Linked DNA regions of Saccharomyces cerevisiae S288C. The protein of the gene in region 4 binds, or shares a complex with, the protein of the main gene of each other region. Each region holds a gene or a part of one and is shown on either strand. Other genes may lie near its edges. The genes, in order: KAE1, PCC1, BUD32 and CGI121. A codon is read from its position in the direction of its gene.

Region 1 (4,429 bases), on a different chromosome or scaffold from region 4:
GAAATTGTTGTTGCGCTAGTATGGCATGTGGTAGCTTATTAAGTATAATTTCGATTGGTTTAGCTACCAGAGAGCTTTCTCCTCTAGTATCGCCCGAACCCATATAGAGATACTCTTTTTTACTCTCGCTCGTGGTAATCTTATATGTCATTCATGGTTAGTTTTTTTTTTATGACTATTTTTTTTTTCCATTACGATGAGGAAAGTTTATGTGAGAAACATGAAGCTACATGCTTTAACAGGAGACAGACCCATGGTGGATCCGCTCAGTTGGTTTTATACATTTAGATGTAAGGTAATACATAATTATATGATTTGCAGTGGCCTATGTATGCAATTAGGACAAAGGAAATATCTATTCTTGAGGAGAAGTGCTCCCCTACTCTTGCAAGTTGGCTATCTCCATTTCTAGCCGCCTAATTTCATCTTTTTCTTTTCGAATAATCTTAGCAACGTCGTGAGAAGAAGAAGGATGGTACTGTGACATAGTCTTTAAGCGATCATCTTGAAGCAAAACTTCTTTCTTGATGAAGCGCAATTTGGAAGAAAGTTGTTCATAATTATGGTACAATTGGTCGTAATCCTGCTTGAACTCTGTTAGTGGCCATAAATCTGTTACTTCGGCCATAACTTTAAGAATTAAATCAGTAGGGAAATCCTCGACAAAGATGGTTTTTCTTCTTTGGTTATTGGATTCTTCTTCCATGAGCACGCTTCCATTTTCCAAGGCATATAGGAGCCTTTGAATTTGCGGATCATCCTTGAACACGGCTGATAATGCTTTGAATGTACCTGAACTTGAATTTGAAATGACAGAGGATCCTATAAGATCGGTATCAAAAATAAAACCGTTCAAGCCACCGCCACTTGTAGTGGCGGTTCTTCTCCTTTTATTGTTCAAATCAAGACGATCTTTGTTCAAATATACTTCCTTGGGCACATGGATGATCGGTTTTTCCCCTGGTCTGCCCAGCCTTCTATTTCTTTTCATGTCCGTATCTCGTTTAATAACATAGTCGAATACTCCCTCCTTGCCGTCTCTACGTGAAACGGATTGTTTCTCAGGGTTGACTTTGAACAGAAGATACGCCTCGTCGTGGTTACAGTCCTTTATTAGTCTAGTAATGTCTTTTCTAATGCTTGCCTTGTTGCTTGCTCCCTGTAGGATGGCATTATGAAAAATTCCTGGTGGCTTGAAATAGAGTGTGGACATAGAGTCCACCGCCCTATTAATATCATCTATACATCTATCCAAGCTTTCCCCCATTCTGTAATTGCCACGTCTTATTTTGTTAGGTGATGATCTAATTTTTTTGAGCTTTGTTTATTGATTATTTTCAAATGTCTCTTGCTTATTTTCGCGCTTCCACAAGGTTATACACTGAGCTGTAAATGTAAGGTGTATGGCATATATAAATATATATATATATTCGTAGTGTGAACATTAGGCTAACTGTAACAAAAATCGTTAATCACGCCAGGCTGCGTATACTTCATCGGTTCTGAATTTCTGCGTAACAACAGTTTCAGAAAAGTCCTTCACGATCCCACCCATTCTATACTCTAGTAGTCCTGCTTGGGCAATCATAACTCCGTTATCGATACAAAACCTATTATCTGTAGCATGTACTTGCCCATTGGCCCTGTCTTTACACATTTGCGCCATCATTTCTTGTAATCGCACGTTACAACCAACACCGCCTACGATCAAAACTTGATTGGAGTTAACGTGAGCCATAGCTCTTTCTGTTATTTCAACTAGCATGGCGAATAGGTTCTCTTGCAGAGAGTAGCAAAGATCCTCTACAGTGACTTTTTGCTCGCCCGTTGTCTTGTCGAATAGGATCTTATTTTTCTTATTGCCCTTAAATAGATCCTTGGCAAGTAAATCGATGGAAGCCAATATACCACTCATCGAAAGATCCATCCCCTTTACTGTATAGGGAAGTTCTACCAAGTTTTCTTTGTGAGGGGCTTTTTTAGCTAACTGCTCGATGTTGTAGCCAGGCGAGGGCTCATTAGGTATCTTCAGAGTTCTTGCAAATCTATCAAGACAATTACCGATAGCAATATCAAGCGTTTCACCAAAGATACGGTACCTTTTTTCCGAGTATGCAATAACTTGTGTATTTCCACCACTTACATACAGTACCACAGGATTTTGAGCTTTAGTGATTTCTCTCCCCATTTCGATGTGACCAATGCAGTGGTTTACTCCCACCAGTGGCACGTCCCACAGTAAGGAGCACGTTCTGGCGGCGATGACAACTGAATGCAGAGGGGCCCCCATGCCGGGACCTTTGGTAAAGCAAATTACATCAATGTCTAGTGTCGGGCTTTTGATGTCAGCTTCGGCCAGTGCTTGTTTTATGAGTCTTATGCACCAATTTCTGTGATGCCTTGCCGTGTCTCGAGGCAAAAATCCCTCCCCAGGAGGTGTGACATATGTGTCTCTAATATTAGAAAGCATCTCAGCTTCGCAATCATAAGATAGATCGCTGTTGGCATGTTTAGGCAGAAGCGGATGCTTAACTATACCAACGCCCAGTTTATTTGCAGAACCTTCAAGTCCAAGCGCAATGTAGTAGTCCCTGCCATTTTTGGGTGGGATAGTGTTCAAGTTGACCATTTTGCTCCCGACTGCATTAGGGAACGCTTGGGAATTCCCTTCACGTAAAAGATAAATATATGCATCGTTGCACGAAGTAAAAATGGTTACTCTCGAACTCATCATAATGAAAGAATTCAGTTTTTCCGTATAAAGCGATATTACAGGAGGAATAAAAAGCAAAATAAAAAATCTCCGCGACGGGGAATTGAACCCCGATCTGGCACGCGACAAGCGCCCATTCTGACCATTAAACTATCACGGAACGTTATTTGTTGGATTTTTTCTCTTAGTTTTAAATATTTATATTTCGTCGAATTGGTACCTCTACAGCTCAGAAGCAGATGTCTTCAAGTTTTTTTATTGTGTCTAAATAAGAATCAACCATTATCTTGACAAATGGGTGAATTTTAAGATAATTGTTGGGATGCCATTGATGATAAAGACTATAATATACATACACAGAATATACTAGAAATTGTACTCGAGCACATAGGAATCCTCAAAATGGAATCGATATTTCTACATAATAATACTACGATTATTTTCTGCTTTCGTTTTATATGTTTCATTATCCTATTATATTATCAATCCTTGCATTTCAGCTTTCATTAGATTGATGACTATTTTTCAACCTTATGTCCTCTTCTTACACCGCATATGATAGTATACTAGCAATATGAATATTACTAAACAGATGATATTTCAACATCATGTTTTGCTTAGTAGACTCTTGCGGGCGTTCCATCCGTGTGAAATACATCATTTACACCTCGCTCTGGGTCAAGTAATCAAAAAATACCTCGTCGAATATCTTCGACAAATCTGTCGCTTGGTTTATGTTTGACCTGATGTATATAAAATCATCACTACCCAATTTAGAGAACACATTGCGTTGCCCGGCCGGCAAAAAATCCTGGGCCAAAAGTTAAAAGAAACTTTCTCATACTCACTCTGAAGTTGTACTATTACGAAGCACTAAAGCATTGATAGATAAATCAACACAGAACATACATGATTAAATTAGACACAGCTCTCTGTATTTTTTACTGTTTGAACTAAGGTTCTAATACTTACACATTCTTTTCAACCCATCAGATGGTGTCTTGCCCCTGCTTACGTAACCTACAACAATAGATTAGACACACCAGTGCCAAGGACAATATGTTGCGTTCTGACTAGTCGAAGTATCATTACGCTGTGCAGATCGACCTGACACCAGACACAAAGGAGAATAGGGGCAGCATGAGTTCCGTCGGCGACTCATTCCGACCTTCCACAGGTCCGTTGATTACTTTTTCACTGATCCGGTGGAATCTATGGTTGTTTTTTTCATCATGATATCTGTTTTAGGACTTTTTTTTTCAGCCGATCGCTTATCTGCTCACTAGAATCGTAATCAGTGATATTTTTATTAATAATTATTATTTATTTTTTTTTATACCATTTCCTTTTGATAAGGGGTCGTTGGTGCCGTGCCGCTATCAGGCAGCCTCACTAATCTACCCATTGACCTCATGCAGCAAAGTCACATCGCCCATATCTCTCGAGTGCGATAACGGGGAACTTGATTTGGTAACTGATAAGATTGTTAAATGTCAGTTTGGATGCTTTTTCTTACGTCCGATTAGCTTATCTTCTGGAGCAACCGGCCATTTACCTCCTCATAGTAAATTAAACATGATAAGCGCATAGTTGGGGCAACACACCTTTCTTCCGGAATTCGCTCTGGATGAGACATATAAAGATGAAGGTGAAGTCCACTTAAATGAATGTCAATGAGACGATGTTTTTTCTCCTAGATTGATTTTTGAATTCCTT
Region 2 (3,831 bases), on a different chromosome or scaffold from region 4:
CAGCCTTGAAATATTCTATGCAAGAAAAAGAGCAAGAGCTCAAATTAGCTAAAGAAGAGGTTCATCGTTGGAAAAAGCGCTCACAAGACATATTGGAGAAACATGAACAATTGAGCTCAAGCGATTATGAGAAGCTAGAAAGCGAGATAGAAAATTTGAAGGAGGAACTAGAAAATAAGGAGCGTCAAGGAGCGGAAGCCGAGGAAAAATTTAACAGGCTGAGAAGACAAGCGCAAGAGAGATTAAAAACATCAAAACTCTCACAGGACTCATTGACTGAACAAGTAAATAGTCTAAGGGATGCAAAGAACGTGTTGGAAAATTCCTTGAGTGAGGCAAACGCGAGAATCGAAGAGTTACAAAATGCAAAAGTAGCACAAGGTAACAACCAGTTAGAAGCAATAAGAAAATTACAAGAAGACGCAGAAAAGGCTTCAAGAGAGCTTCAAGCCAAGTTAGAAGAAAGTACGACTTCTTACGAATCTACGATAAACGGCTTAAATGAAGAGATTACAACATTAAAAGAAGAAATTGAAAAACAAAGGCAAATCCAGCAACAGTTACAAGCTACATCTGCAAATGAACAAAATGACTTATCTAACATAGTTGAGTCTATGAAAAAGTCTTTTGAAGAAGATAAAATCAAATTCATCAAAGAAAAAACCCAAGAAGTTAATGAAAAAATACTCGAGGCCCAAGAAAGGCTAAATCAACCTTCCAATATCAATATGGAGGAGATTAAAAAAAAATGGGAATCTGAGCACGAACAGGAAGTATCTCAAAAGATTCGCGAAGCTGAGGAAGCCCTCAAAAAGCGAATCAGATTACCCACTGAGGAGAAAATTAATAAGATAATCGAACGAAAGAAGGAGGAATTGGAAAAAGAGTTTGAAGAAAAGGTTGAGGAGAGAATAAAATCAATGGAACAATCTGGAGAAATAGACGTGGTGCTTCGAAAACAGCTAGAAGCTAAGGTTCAAGAGAAACAAAAGGAATTGGAAAACGAGTATAACAAAAAATTACAAGAAGAACTCAAAGATGTACCACACTCAAGTCATATCTCAGATGATGAAAGGGACAAATTACGAGCAGAAATCGAAAGCAGGTTGAGGGAGGAGTTCAACAATGAACTGCAAGCCATAAAGAAGAAATCCTTCGACGAAGGAAAGCAACAAGCAATGATGAAAACTACCCTTTTGGAAAGAAAACTTGCCAAGATGGAATCTCAATTGTCAGAAACAAAACAAAGTGCCGAGAGTCCTCCGAAATCTGTTAACAATGTACAAAATCCATTACTAGGATTACCTAGGAAAATCGAAGAGAATTCAAATTCACCATTCAATCCGTTACTTTCCGGTGAAAAACTCTTAAAGCTAAATTCTAAGTCTTCATCAGGTGGATTTAACCCTTTTACCTCGCCATCCCCAAATAAGCACTTACAAAATGATAATGACAAAAGGGAGTCGTTGGCTAACAAGACAGATCCACCAACTCATTTGGAACCCAGCTTCAACATTCCCGCCTCAAGGGGTCTAATATCTTCATCTTCCACTTTGTCAACTGATACAAATGATGAAGAACTTACTAGCAACAATCCTGCCCAAAAGGATTCATCGAACAGAAATGTTCAATCGGAAGAGGATACAGAAAAAAAGAAAGAGGGAGAACCTGTTAAAAGAGGAGAGGCAATAGAAGAGCAGACGAAATCCAACAAGCGACCTATTGATGAGGTAGGAGAGCTGAAAAATGATGAAGACGACACTACAGAAAACATTAATGAGTCAAAAAAGATCAAGACTGAAGATGAGGAAGAAAAAGAAACCGATAAGGTGAATGACGAGAACAGTATATAAAGGAGATAGTAAAAACAAGGGATCAATACAAACTAAACCTTTTTCAATGTGGAGGAGCTTCATTCTGCCCTATGTCAAGACCATTTGTAATATACGTACAACAGCATTCTTGTTTCATAAAGTTTATATATGTATAAGCTAAGATGAAGTCACGTAAATAGCTCAAATGCCGATTTTTTAATACTCCAAACACAGAATCCTCTATATATGGAAATGGAATCATGAATCTTACGGTTTGTGTTTTGAATGTTCCAAACAGATTTTCTTAGTGTTCCGATCTCTGTTCCACCCACCAAACGAGAAAAAAGTAGGTCTTCGCGAAAACTCCAGCGACACCGCTGGTCCTTTAAGTTAAAATAATATGAATGGTGGAAGAACCCAGATCAACTTGACTGAAACAAGTCTGCCAACATAGACAGCTAAGAAAATTGATGACAAGCAAACGGGAAAAGTCACTGGATCACACATTGTAAGTAGAAGCAGTTTTTCAATGGGAAGACCGCACTGCATAGTTTACTAACTATTTAAACTTTCCAAACATTAGAGAACTAAAGATACCGTTTGAAACGGAGCGACAAGCGACCATAGCAACCAAAGTCCTATCTCCGGACCCGATTTTGAAGCCACAAGATTTTCAAGTAGACTACAGTTCCGAGAAAAATGTCATGCTAGTCCAGTTCAGAAGCATTGATGATAGGGTGCTTCGAGTGGGAGTTAGCAGTATCATAGACAGTATCAAAACCATTGTGGAAGCCATGGACGTTCTATCATAAATAATTAGAACACCGTATTAGTGTACATATAGTATAAGTATCTAGACGGCATTCATGCACATCATAACTTAAATATTTAAAATAGCATTAAGATAAAAAAATAAAGAGAGGTATAGTTGCTAAATGTCCTGGGGTTGCGTGTAAATAAACAATTGTTTGCTTTGAGTAAAGCAAGCATGTGGATGGTAGATGAGGCCTTATTTACTCCCATTAGCTGGGTAACGCAGAAAGTTTTAATATGAAAGGGTGACGGCGCTTGGCGTTTTTCTTGGATTGTAGAAGTCATGCTAGGCCCTTGGAGTAAGATAAGAGAGAACAAATAAAAGCTTTGGCAAATATCAACTCAGACGTCTTTTTTAAAGAGGATATAGAGCTTTGGTGTTGGCCTATTTCCCATCGCTGTTAAATTTCCGCTTTTTTGTTTTTTTTTTCCCTAAATTTGAGGAACAGCTGTTTATATTGATTTCCTTCTTTCCTGGTGCATATTGGTTGAATCATCAACGCTTAACGACTAACAAATTAGATCCAGAGTTACAGACGGGTGAGATTCATATATAGACCGAAGGAGTTTCACAATCCACTATATTATGCCAGAAACCTCTGTTCAGAATCCATTAAGGCTTTCTGAAAATGAAAATACTCGTTCGATGTTTCTGTCTGCATCACAGCAGCAGCGGCCATCTGCCACTCCATCCTTCCCTAGGTTGGTACGGAATACCACAGCAAATTTGAGTTTATCAGATTTTCAAGTGTTAAATCCGTCTTCTAAAAGGCAAAATTCAAACTCGGTTTACGATGATATAAATAGCAGTAAGAGGCGAATAAGTAGACCTAGATTTTCAGATATCGAAGGAAAAAATAATGACCATACTTACCCAGAAAGAACAACAGTCAAGGAATCAGAGAAAAATCCTTCTCCCAGATATGTGAGTAGTTCGAAAAGGGCCCTGAAAAGGGAAAACTCAGTTGGAATTACTCAATCCTCTGCATTGATTTCGAAATCATTTAGTGAAAACGGCGGAAGCATTGCACATGAGAAATGGAGCCCGGAAAATATGATAAAACCACTGAACGTTTCACAGAATTCGCTAGCTTTCGTGGATGCAGGGTCAGATGAACAGTCCAAGAGTGAAATTGTAGGCGGTTTCCAGCGTAAATCTAATAATAGTCAAGAAATCAACGACAAGGATAACAGTGCCCGAGAT
Region 3 (4,065 bases), on a different chromosome or scaffold from region 4:
AAGTGTATCAATTAATATATAGATTTTACTCTGATATAAAAACAAGTTTAAAAAACAATTCTCCCGCTAACACGTTTATACCCTTTCTTTTAGTTGAGTAATTGTGTAGTGTTAAGCTGAGAATATTCATGATTTGATTTCTGATAAATAACTTCTGCTTTATAATAACAAATGTTTAACGTGTTAGCGCCATAATTATATAGAATTGAGGGAAAAAGAAACTGAAAACCAAAAATACCCTGCGTCGCTTGAAATGAGAACAGCACAAATCAATTTTAAAGGAAAAGGTTTCAAAGAAGAATGGCAGCCAACTCTGGTCTCGACTCAAAAGTTGAATATTATCGGCTTCAAGAGAATGAAATTATTAGCGCTGTATCAAGTGAGGATGCAGATCAAAATGATGCGGGCTTTCGATTGAGTACCATCCATTTGCATTTGTTCCATGGATTGAAATTTGCCGCTCTATTGTTCACAGTGGTGCCTGTATTTATAATCCTCGACAGTATGAAGATCATTTTTCAACGCAAACGTAGGTTTTGCCTTGACCATGTCAACAGAAGTTTTTTAAGACAAAGTTCTTGGATCCTCGATGAACGCATCTGTCAATACGTGCTCAATCCTTTATTTGTTTGTTTATATCCTTCTACATTTTCTAGTCCAACATATGTCAAATGCAACATTCCTATAGAAGATCAGAAATCTCCAGAAAACAATATTTTCCAAGACCATCAATTAAACGCACCCAAAATAGTTAGCACAAAGTTTTATCAATATGTTATGCCGGAAGGATTTGACCCCACGACAGATCCAGTTTTAGTATTCTATCATGGGGGTGGTTATGCTCTTAAATTGACGCCTACGTCGTTTTCTTTCTTGAATAATATGCGAAATGCCTTTCCTAAAATGGCCATTCTTGTACCAGATTATACCGTTACAGCTACCGATGACCAGTCGAAAAAGTACCCTCTGCAAATTTTACAAAATGTGGCCATTTTTGATTACGTTGTTAAGACTATGGGGTGCAAAAATGTAGTGATTATGGGGGATTCTGCTGGTGGCAATGCTGTTTTGAACATTGTTTTATATTTAAGAAAGTGTCACAGAGAAATATACCCGAAAAAAGTCATAGCCATAAGTCCCTGGGCCAATGCCACTTTCTTCCACGAGGGAGAAAAGGAATATATGCAAGGAACACAAGAATGGGATGGTCTATGTTTGAAGAGTCATTCGATGTTTGGGCGAATGTTTGTAGGAAACAACCCAAACGTCGATTTTACCAGCGACCCTTTTGTTAATATTGAAAAGAATTTCGAAACTAAAATGTGGCAAGATATTCTGAAAAAGTGCTCTGTGATGATTACTTATGGTAGTGATGAGTTGTTGAGCTTTCAAAACAAGATCTTGGCAAAGAAAATGAGTGACGCTAGCGAGGGATGTAACCACTTTACCGCCAAAAATGTGCTGGTTGAACACCAAGGTTATCATACGGGCCCAATATTAAACTACTCTCGTAATATGGATCGCTGGACCAACATACCATCTATCGCTCGCATTCTTGAGTTTATGCAATCCTGAATTTGTCATAATGACAATTACATAACCCCTTTTATATACATAAATATTTGGGTCAGCACAAATTTATTTTGATTTTCCATTATTTTAGCAGCAACAAGGTTGAAAAAATCGCCGGCGCATCACCAACTTGAAGGACAAAGATAACCTTACTTGAAATCAAATAAGTGATGAATACGACAGCGGAAAAGGTTATACGCTTTGCTCATTATGACGCAAGAATTCATTGATAAAGTATCTTCCTACCTGACTCCTGATGTGGACATTGCACCTATTTCTCAAGGTGCAGAAGCCATTGTTTTCACAACGACTACTCACCCATATCTCCCAAGAGCAAAGGATTCTCATCAAAAGTATATTATCAAATATAGGCCACCAAAGCGTTATAGACATCCACAAATAGACCAGGCACTAACAAAACATCGTACGTTGAATGAGTCGCGTTTATTGGCCAAATTATACTTGATTCCAGGGCTATGTGTCCCTCAACTGATAGCGTGTGATCCATACAATGGATTCATTTGGTTAGAGTTCCTTGGAGAAGATCTTCCCGGAGGGCACGGTTTTAGTAACCTAAAGAACTTCCTTTGGATGCATGACCAAGATCCATATAGTGATCTTGTAGCAACTACACTACGGAAAGTGGGGCGCCAAATTGGGTTGTTGCACTGGAATGACTACTGTCATGGTGATTTGACAAGTTCTAACATTGTTCTCGTGCGAGATGGTGCGAGATGGACGCCTCATTTGATTGATTTCGGTCTGGGCTCAGTTTCAAACCTGGTCGAAGATAAAGGCGTCGATTTATACGTCTTAGAGAGAGCTATTTTAAGTACACATTCGAAGCATGCGGAAAAATACAATGCTTGGATCATGGAGGGGTTCGAAGAGGTCTATCGTGAACAAGGTGCGAAAGGTGCCAAGAAACTGAAAGAAGTTACCAAAAGATTCGAAGAGGTCAGGTTGCGTGGTCGTAAGAGAAGTATGCTAGGATAATATAAATGCTAGCGTACTGCCTGTATATCGCTGCACATAATATGTATCTATAATTTATATTAACGTACATAACTTTTAGGTATGTTACCATCAAAGCGTGTCCGAGTTATTGAGATTTTGACAAATTCAGACAAATCATTTTTGAAGAACCATATATATAAATATATAAAGAAAAGAAAGGTAAACCAAAGACAGCAAACAATCGAAAAGTGGACAACCAGCAATGGTAGATTCAATTCACCGTATTGCATCGGCGTTGGATACGGCCAAAGTAATAACGAGGGAAGCTGCCGCGGTAGCCACCTCTAAGCTGGGTGAATCCTCCTATACTTATTATTCTCAAAACATCAATCCTCAACAGTTAGTCACCTTGTTAAATTCTAGGAACTCTAGAGAAGTTAGAGATGCAATGAAGAGAATAATATCTATAATGGCTTCCGATGATGACTCTATTGACGTTCAATTATACTTTGCTGATGTTGTAAAGAATATCACCACTAATGACACCAAAGTGAAAAGACTTATTCACCTGTATTTACTTAGATTTGCAGAAAATGACCCAAACCTGACCCTGTTATCTATTAATTCTCTTCAAAAATCATTGTCTGATTCGAATTCCGAACTGAGATGCTTTGCTTTGAGTGCCCTTTCTGACATGAAAATGTCATCATTAGCACCTATAATTTTGCATACTGTCAAGAAATTGGTTACAGATCCATCTGCAATGGTTCGTGGTGAAGTCGCCTTGGCCATTATCAAATTATATAGGGCTGGAAAGAATGACTATCATGAAGAATTGTTGGATATTCTGAAAGAATTAATGGCAGATACAGATCCTAAGGTGATATCCTGTGCTGTCCTAGCTTACAAAGAATGTTATGCGGATCACTTGGAGCTATTGCATGGACATTTTCGCAGATATTGTAGAATAATTAAGCAACTAGATTCGTGGTCACAATCATATTTAATTGAGCTGCTAATCAAGTACTGTAAGCAGTATTTACCAAAACCAACTGTGGTCGATAAATCATCAGAAGGTTCCCCAAGGAGTTGTCCTTTACCAGATAAATACAACGAGATTGAATACCCATCTTACGAGGTGGTAAATGACCCTGATTTAGATTTATTTCTACAGAGTTTGAATTGCTTAATTTATAGTTCCAACCCTACAGTGATTTTATCGTGTTGCAATGCGCTATATCAGTTAGCTTCACCATTGCAGATGAAAAATACTAAATTTATTGAAGCATTGGTTAGAACGGTAACCATGACAGAAAACCAAGGTAACAAAGAAATGCTTTTACAAGCAATTCACTTCTTATCGATCTTAGACCAGACACTATTTTTACCCTACACCAAGAAATTTTACGTTTTCCCCAAAGATCCTATTGTGGCATCAATTTGGAAGATCCAAATTTTGTCCACGTTAATAAATGAATCAAACGTTAAAGAAATATTCAAAGAATTGAAATATTATGTTGCCAGTGCTCATTTCCC
Region 4 (3,899 bases):
GGTTTTTCCACAAGTAGCGAGGTAAGCAACAGAGTAATGCCCATTATAGGAGCTAACTGGTGGATTGTATGAATTGGGTGAGGCTTGGATTCTCCAAAATTCTCCAGCATTTTGTTATTGGCGAGGTTAACAACAGGTTCATTATCGACATTATCTTCATTTTCCGTGAAAAGGGCACCATCAGATTCCTCTACTGCTGCAGCGGTGTTAGTTTGAATTGGGTTGTTCCTAAGCATCAACTGCGTATAAACCCACCTTAACCCAGAAAGACAGCTACTTGCTAGGACAAGAAAGCTGCCAAAAATGACCAAGGCTTGGTCGTTTTTGGTACTGGTGGAATCGCTTGGTTTGAAAACCATTAATGCTACACCAACAAACATAATTATTACTGAAAGTGCCAACTTCCAATGAAACTTTTCTAGCTTGAAGATACAGCCGAATAAAAGGACAAAAGCTATGCTCGAAGATTTGATAATTGTATAAATTGTCAAGGGAACATACTGGAAGGAAACGTTACTGAGCCCGATATCACCTGCAGAAGCGACTGCCGTAGGGAGTAAAAATTTTAGAAAAAAACTCCAGTTAAAACCATTATTCTTTCTTAAAACGTTTTTCACTGGCTTATGCCTGAGCTTAATGTATATGCCGGATAGTAACCATAAAGTAGCCTGATGGAATGTTGTCACCAACACGGGATACCCAATACCCAATCCGTCCTTCGGATCGAACATCCATCTATTGTATATGGAGAGAGCTATTGAACAGAAATACCATCCAAATACAAATGCCAAAAAGACAGTCCTATTCATAGCAAAATGTGACACGAGAATTGAAGGTATAAACACTCGCTGTAACAACTTCAAGTGATCGTGGAAGTGATGAAAATGCAGTTATGAGTATAATCAGGCCAATTGACACTTTAAAAAAACAGAACAACAGCTTCTCGTGATGCCACTATCCCTTATATTTCCAGTTCTAAGCCATCTCCTTCTCATTCTCGACAAAAAAAATGGGTGTGATTATTTTGCGCTTTATTTTTTGGCGTCTCGTCGCCGATGACTCTAATAGATGTTGAAGCCTACAAGCATCTATTATATTTTCTTCTTTGGTTGTAATGGGATGAATGAATCTAGAGTTAATGAAGGAGTGCTGGCAATGCTGGGCTCGCTGGATGGATGATAACTAGATTGTGCAGGTACCTGTTCAAATCCATCACCATCATCATGTTCACTGCATCCAGTGTTAGTAACTGCGGGCTCGTGTACTTTGGGTTCAGCTTGTTGATCACTCATACTCTCTTGCTTTGATTGGATGGTATTTTTATCACTGAAAGTTGTATCATCGTCAGGTGATAGGCCAGATTTTTGGCTTACCTCATCCTGAATTTCATTTTTGGCCTCTATAGGCTTTTCGGATTTCTTTTTTGAACCTGATTTAGAACCAGAATGGCCCCAAAATCCAAAAAAACTCTTCCTTTTCGACTTATTTTTCTTTGTCTTATCACCGTCTGATTTCTTCTTTTCTTTGGGCAATTCCTTAACAACGAATTTCTGTAGCGGGTCCACTTTGAAATCGGAATTAGCCCACGTAGAAGGTTTCTTGCCATCAGCTGTATGTGCCTCATTTCTCTCAAATCTTTCTTCCACCATCCAACTTTTGCTATTGGGCTTTATACACTTATCAATCTCAGCAGAAGCTCTATCAAATAACTGACTGGTAGTAGTAATTTTGGGCTTGTTGCTTCCTCTGCTCGGAGAGCCCTGCTTGAAGGTTGTATTTATAGTTTCTTGATGAGAAGTAGGTGCTACATTATGACTCCAGGAAAATAGAACTGGCCCATCCAGCTGTAAAGCGCCAGAATTCATAGTTATGGTTTTTTCCTCATCAATCCAATCTCTTTGTATTTGCCGACATTTCCCATCAAGTTTGTCGGTACTCAATTTATTCCCCATTTGCATAGGTGAATGAAACAAACAGTTCATCAACCGCCTACCGTTCGCTACTTCATCTAATAACCCATATAACGACACATCTCCATTTTTGGCTTGCTCGGAGTCATCTTGCGGTGTGTATTCCTTACTGAACAACTGGTCGATTATTTTGTTTTCGTCCATAATTTGTCCTTCCCAAAAAATAACCAGCTTAGATTCTGACAATGCTTGTTTCTTTAATTGATGATCTGTAATATTCGTTGATCATTAATACCATTGATTTCAATATTTCATGTTTAATCTTTTGCGCGAAAATTTCAATTGCAAACCAAAATATACATCAACAATCTTTTATCGGTCAACAAATTTGTCGATATAACCAAATATACGTCGTCGCTGCCCATTATACAATCATCATGGTAGTATCCATCATACCGCAATTTCCTGATATCAAGGTTTCACTAGCATTGTTTGAACAGGTTAAAAATGCTAAAGAAATACGCTCTAAAATGAGTGAATTGTCGACATCCTTTGCCTTTATTGACCCCCGGTTAGTCTGTTCGGGGGAGCAGATGTATTCTGCAATTTACAAGACCTTAATAGAAGTGAAATATAACAAGATGAGAACAAGAAATTTGAATTCCGAGTGCGTACTATGTCTTTCACCCACTTCCAATATTAGTGATGCTTTCCTCAAATTCGGAATCAAAGACGATTCGTCACAGTTAATATGCCTTAAGTTCCATACTAATACTGACGATGTAGACAAAGAGCAATTGAGGACGATTATGACTTCTATAGTAAAAGGACAAGAGATCGAGTTTAATGATGACAATTTATCGAGATTTTATGACGAAGCGCTCATAAGAAAAGTATGTTTTAATAATAAATTCGAGGTAAAAACTTCAACAGCCTCACCAGAAACACATTGTACTAACTTCACCTTTGTTTTCCTTTTATTTTGTTTTTACCTATTAGATCTATAAATTAAGTGATGATTTCAAGCCCCAAGACGTAAATGGTCTCTCAAGAGCTTTGGTAGACGCTATTCAATTGAGGGGTGTGTAGATAAGAGATATCTAACGATAAAATTATAAAAAAAATTCTTTGATTATTTTTCAGATTAGTATTATTTGTTCTCCGTGAAGTCAGTGTATCGAACTGCCAAAAGTTCTCCTTATATACATGTGCGCGTATAACCATCACTTTTCTTCAATGGTTCTCTTGAAATTGGCAAAATGATTAACTAATTCCAGTTCAGTTGATAATGTATCGTATCTGTAGTTAATTCTAATATCAGGAACATTTGTTCTAACCACATCGTTACCTTCAACACCACTCTTGTCAAAATCTTTCCCTATCCAATGTTTTTTGATTTGTGCTTCCCACCCACTTTGCAACACGGAATTTCTTGCCAATTCACACATATCTACATTAGACAATTTATAAATTTGTGCTGCAACTGAGTATTCTTCGATTAATGGTTCTCTGGTATATGAGAATTGTAAAGGATCATCTGTGGATAGTGAGACATTCAAACCTCTTTTAAAGTATCTCGGAAATGGGTTTTTATCATAGGTCAAAAATAATGCGTTATTAGAAAGGGGTGACATTGCGATACCAACCTGATCTAAATAGTATAAGTATTGAACAAATGGAACTTTCCTCAATAAAATACCATGTGATATACCATGTGCCAATAGATATGCTGAAACGAGATGCTCGGGGTCACCGGCTTCACCACAATGTGGTCTCAAAACCAAAGTGTTAAACCCTCTCTTAGCCCTCCATTGATTCAAAGACGCGACATTTGAATACAAATAGTACAGGTAATAGGAATAAGGAGGGTTTTGAGGAGCCTCCCAGAGTGATGGCTTGGGATATTTCCTATGAAAGCGGCGATCAACCTTGGATTCATCATCGACAGAATCAAACCCAATTACTCTCTGTAAAAATACATGCAATTTT

The links.
Region 1: CGI121 (region 4) and KAE1 share a complex: the UniProt entries of both Saccharomyces cerevisiae proteins name them as parts of the EKC/KEOPS complex.
Region 2: CGI121 (region 4) and PCC1 share a complex: the UniProt entries of both Saccharomyces cerevisiae proteins name them as parts of the EKC/KEOPS complex.
Region 3: the proteins of CGI121 (region 4) and BUD32 are in contact, whole or in part, in a crystal structure (PDB 4WW7), measured with the Saccharomyces cerevisiae proteins. Residues at the interface, in NP_013676.2 of Saccharomyces cerevisiae: Ser4 (codon at 2,357), Ile6 (codon at 2,363), Pro7 (codon at 2,366), Gln8 (codon at 2,369), Pro10 (codon at 2,375), Gly50 (codon at 2,495), Glu51 (codon at 2,498), Tyr54 (codon at 2,507), Ser55 (codon at 2,510), Tyr58 (codon at 2,519), Lys59 (codon at 2,522), Ile62 (codon at 2,531), Glu63 (codon at 2,534), Tyr66 (codon at 2,543), Asn67 (codon at 2,546), Asp159 (codon at 2,928), Phe160 (codon at 2,931), Gly167 (codon at 2,952), Arg170 (codon at 2,961), Ala171 (codon at 2,964), Val173 (codon at 2,970), Asp174 (codon at 2,973), Gln177 (codon at 2,982), Leu178 (codon at 2,985); in NP_011778.1 of Saccharomyces cerevisiae: Tyr12 (codon at 1,816), Leu13 (codon at 1,819), Thr14 (codon at 1,822), Asp16 (codon at 1,828), Val17 (codon at 1,831), Thr35 (codon at 1,885), His36 (codon at 1,888), Pro37 (codon at 1,891), Tyr38 (codon at 1,894), Leu39 (codon at 1,897), Pro40 (codon at 1,900), Ser77 (codon at 2,011), Arg78 (codon at 2,014), Ala81 (codon at 2,023), Tyr84 (codon at 2,032), Leu85 (codon at 2,035), Pro87 (codon at 2,041), Val91 (codon at 2,053), Pro92 (codon at 2,056), Gln93 (codon at 2,059), Leu94 (codon at 2,062), Ile95 (codon at 2,065), Ala96 (codon at 2,068), Cys97 (codon at 2,071), Asp98 (codon at 2,074), Pro99 (codon at 2,077), Tyr100 (codon at 2,080), Asn101 (codon at 2,083), Trp105 (codon at 2,095), Glu107 (codon at 2,101).

Annotation. Positions count from the first base shown.
Region 1 is NC_001143.9:510,531-514,959, forward strand, and holds KAE1 (tRNA N6-adenosine threonylcarbamoyltransferase), read right to left. Parts: upstream 2,630-4,429; coding exon 1,469-2,629; downstream 1-1,468. Other genes in the region: CAF4 (Caf4p), read right to left, coding at 1-103; SPC34 (Spc34p), read right to left, coding at 380-1,267. UniProt on the Saccharomyces cerevisiae protein: Component of the EKC/KEOPS complex that is required for the formation of a threonylcarbamoyl group on adenosine at position 37 (t(6)A37) in tRNAs that read codons beginning with adenine.
Region 2 is NC_001143.9:623,580-627,410, forward strand, and holds PCC1 (chromatin DNA-binding EKC/KEOPS complex subunit PCC1), read left to right. Parts: upstream 1-2,284; coding exon 2,285-2,322; intron 2,323-2,397; coding exon 2,398-2,626; downstream 2,627-3,831. Other genes in the region: MLP1 (Mlp1p), read left to right, coding at 1-1,853; ESL2 (Esl2p), read left to right, coding at 3,214-3,831. UniProt on the Saccharomyces cerevisiae protein: Component of the EKC/KEOPS complex that is required for the formation of a threonylcarbamoyl group on adenosine at position 37 (t(6)A37) in tRNAs that read codons beginning with adenine.
Region 3 is NC_001139.9:1,015,477-1,019,541, reverse strand, and holds BUD32 (serine/threonine protein kinase BUD32), read left to right. Parts: upstream 1-1,782; coding exon 1,783-2,568; downstream 2,569-4,065. Other genes in the region: SAY1 (steryl deacetylase), read left to right, coding at 301-1,575; APL6 (AP-3 complex subunit beta), read left to right, coding at 2,792-4,065. UniProt on the Saccharomyces cerevisiae protein: Component of the EKC/KEOPS complex that is required for the formation of a threonylcarbamoyl group on adenosine at position 37 (t(6)A37) in tRNAs that read codons beginning with adenine.
Region 4 is NC_001145.3:203,295-207,193, forward strand, and holds CGI121 (Cgi121p), read left to right. Parts: upstream 1-2,347; coding exon 2,348-2,803; intron 2,804-2,909; coding exon 2,910-2,999; downstream 3,000-3,899. Other genes in the region: YMD8 (Ymd8p), read right to left, coding at 1-809; LFT1 (Lft1p), read right to left, coding at 1,092-2,114; AMD1 (AMP deaminase), read right to left, coding at 3,134-3,899. UniProt on the Saccharomyces cerevisiae protein: Component of the EKC/KEOPS complex that is required for the formation of a threonylcarbamoyl group on adenosine at position 37 (t(6)A37) in tRNAs that read codons beginning with adenine.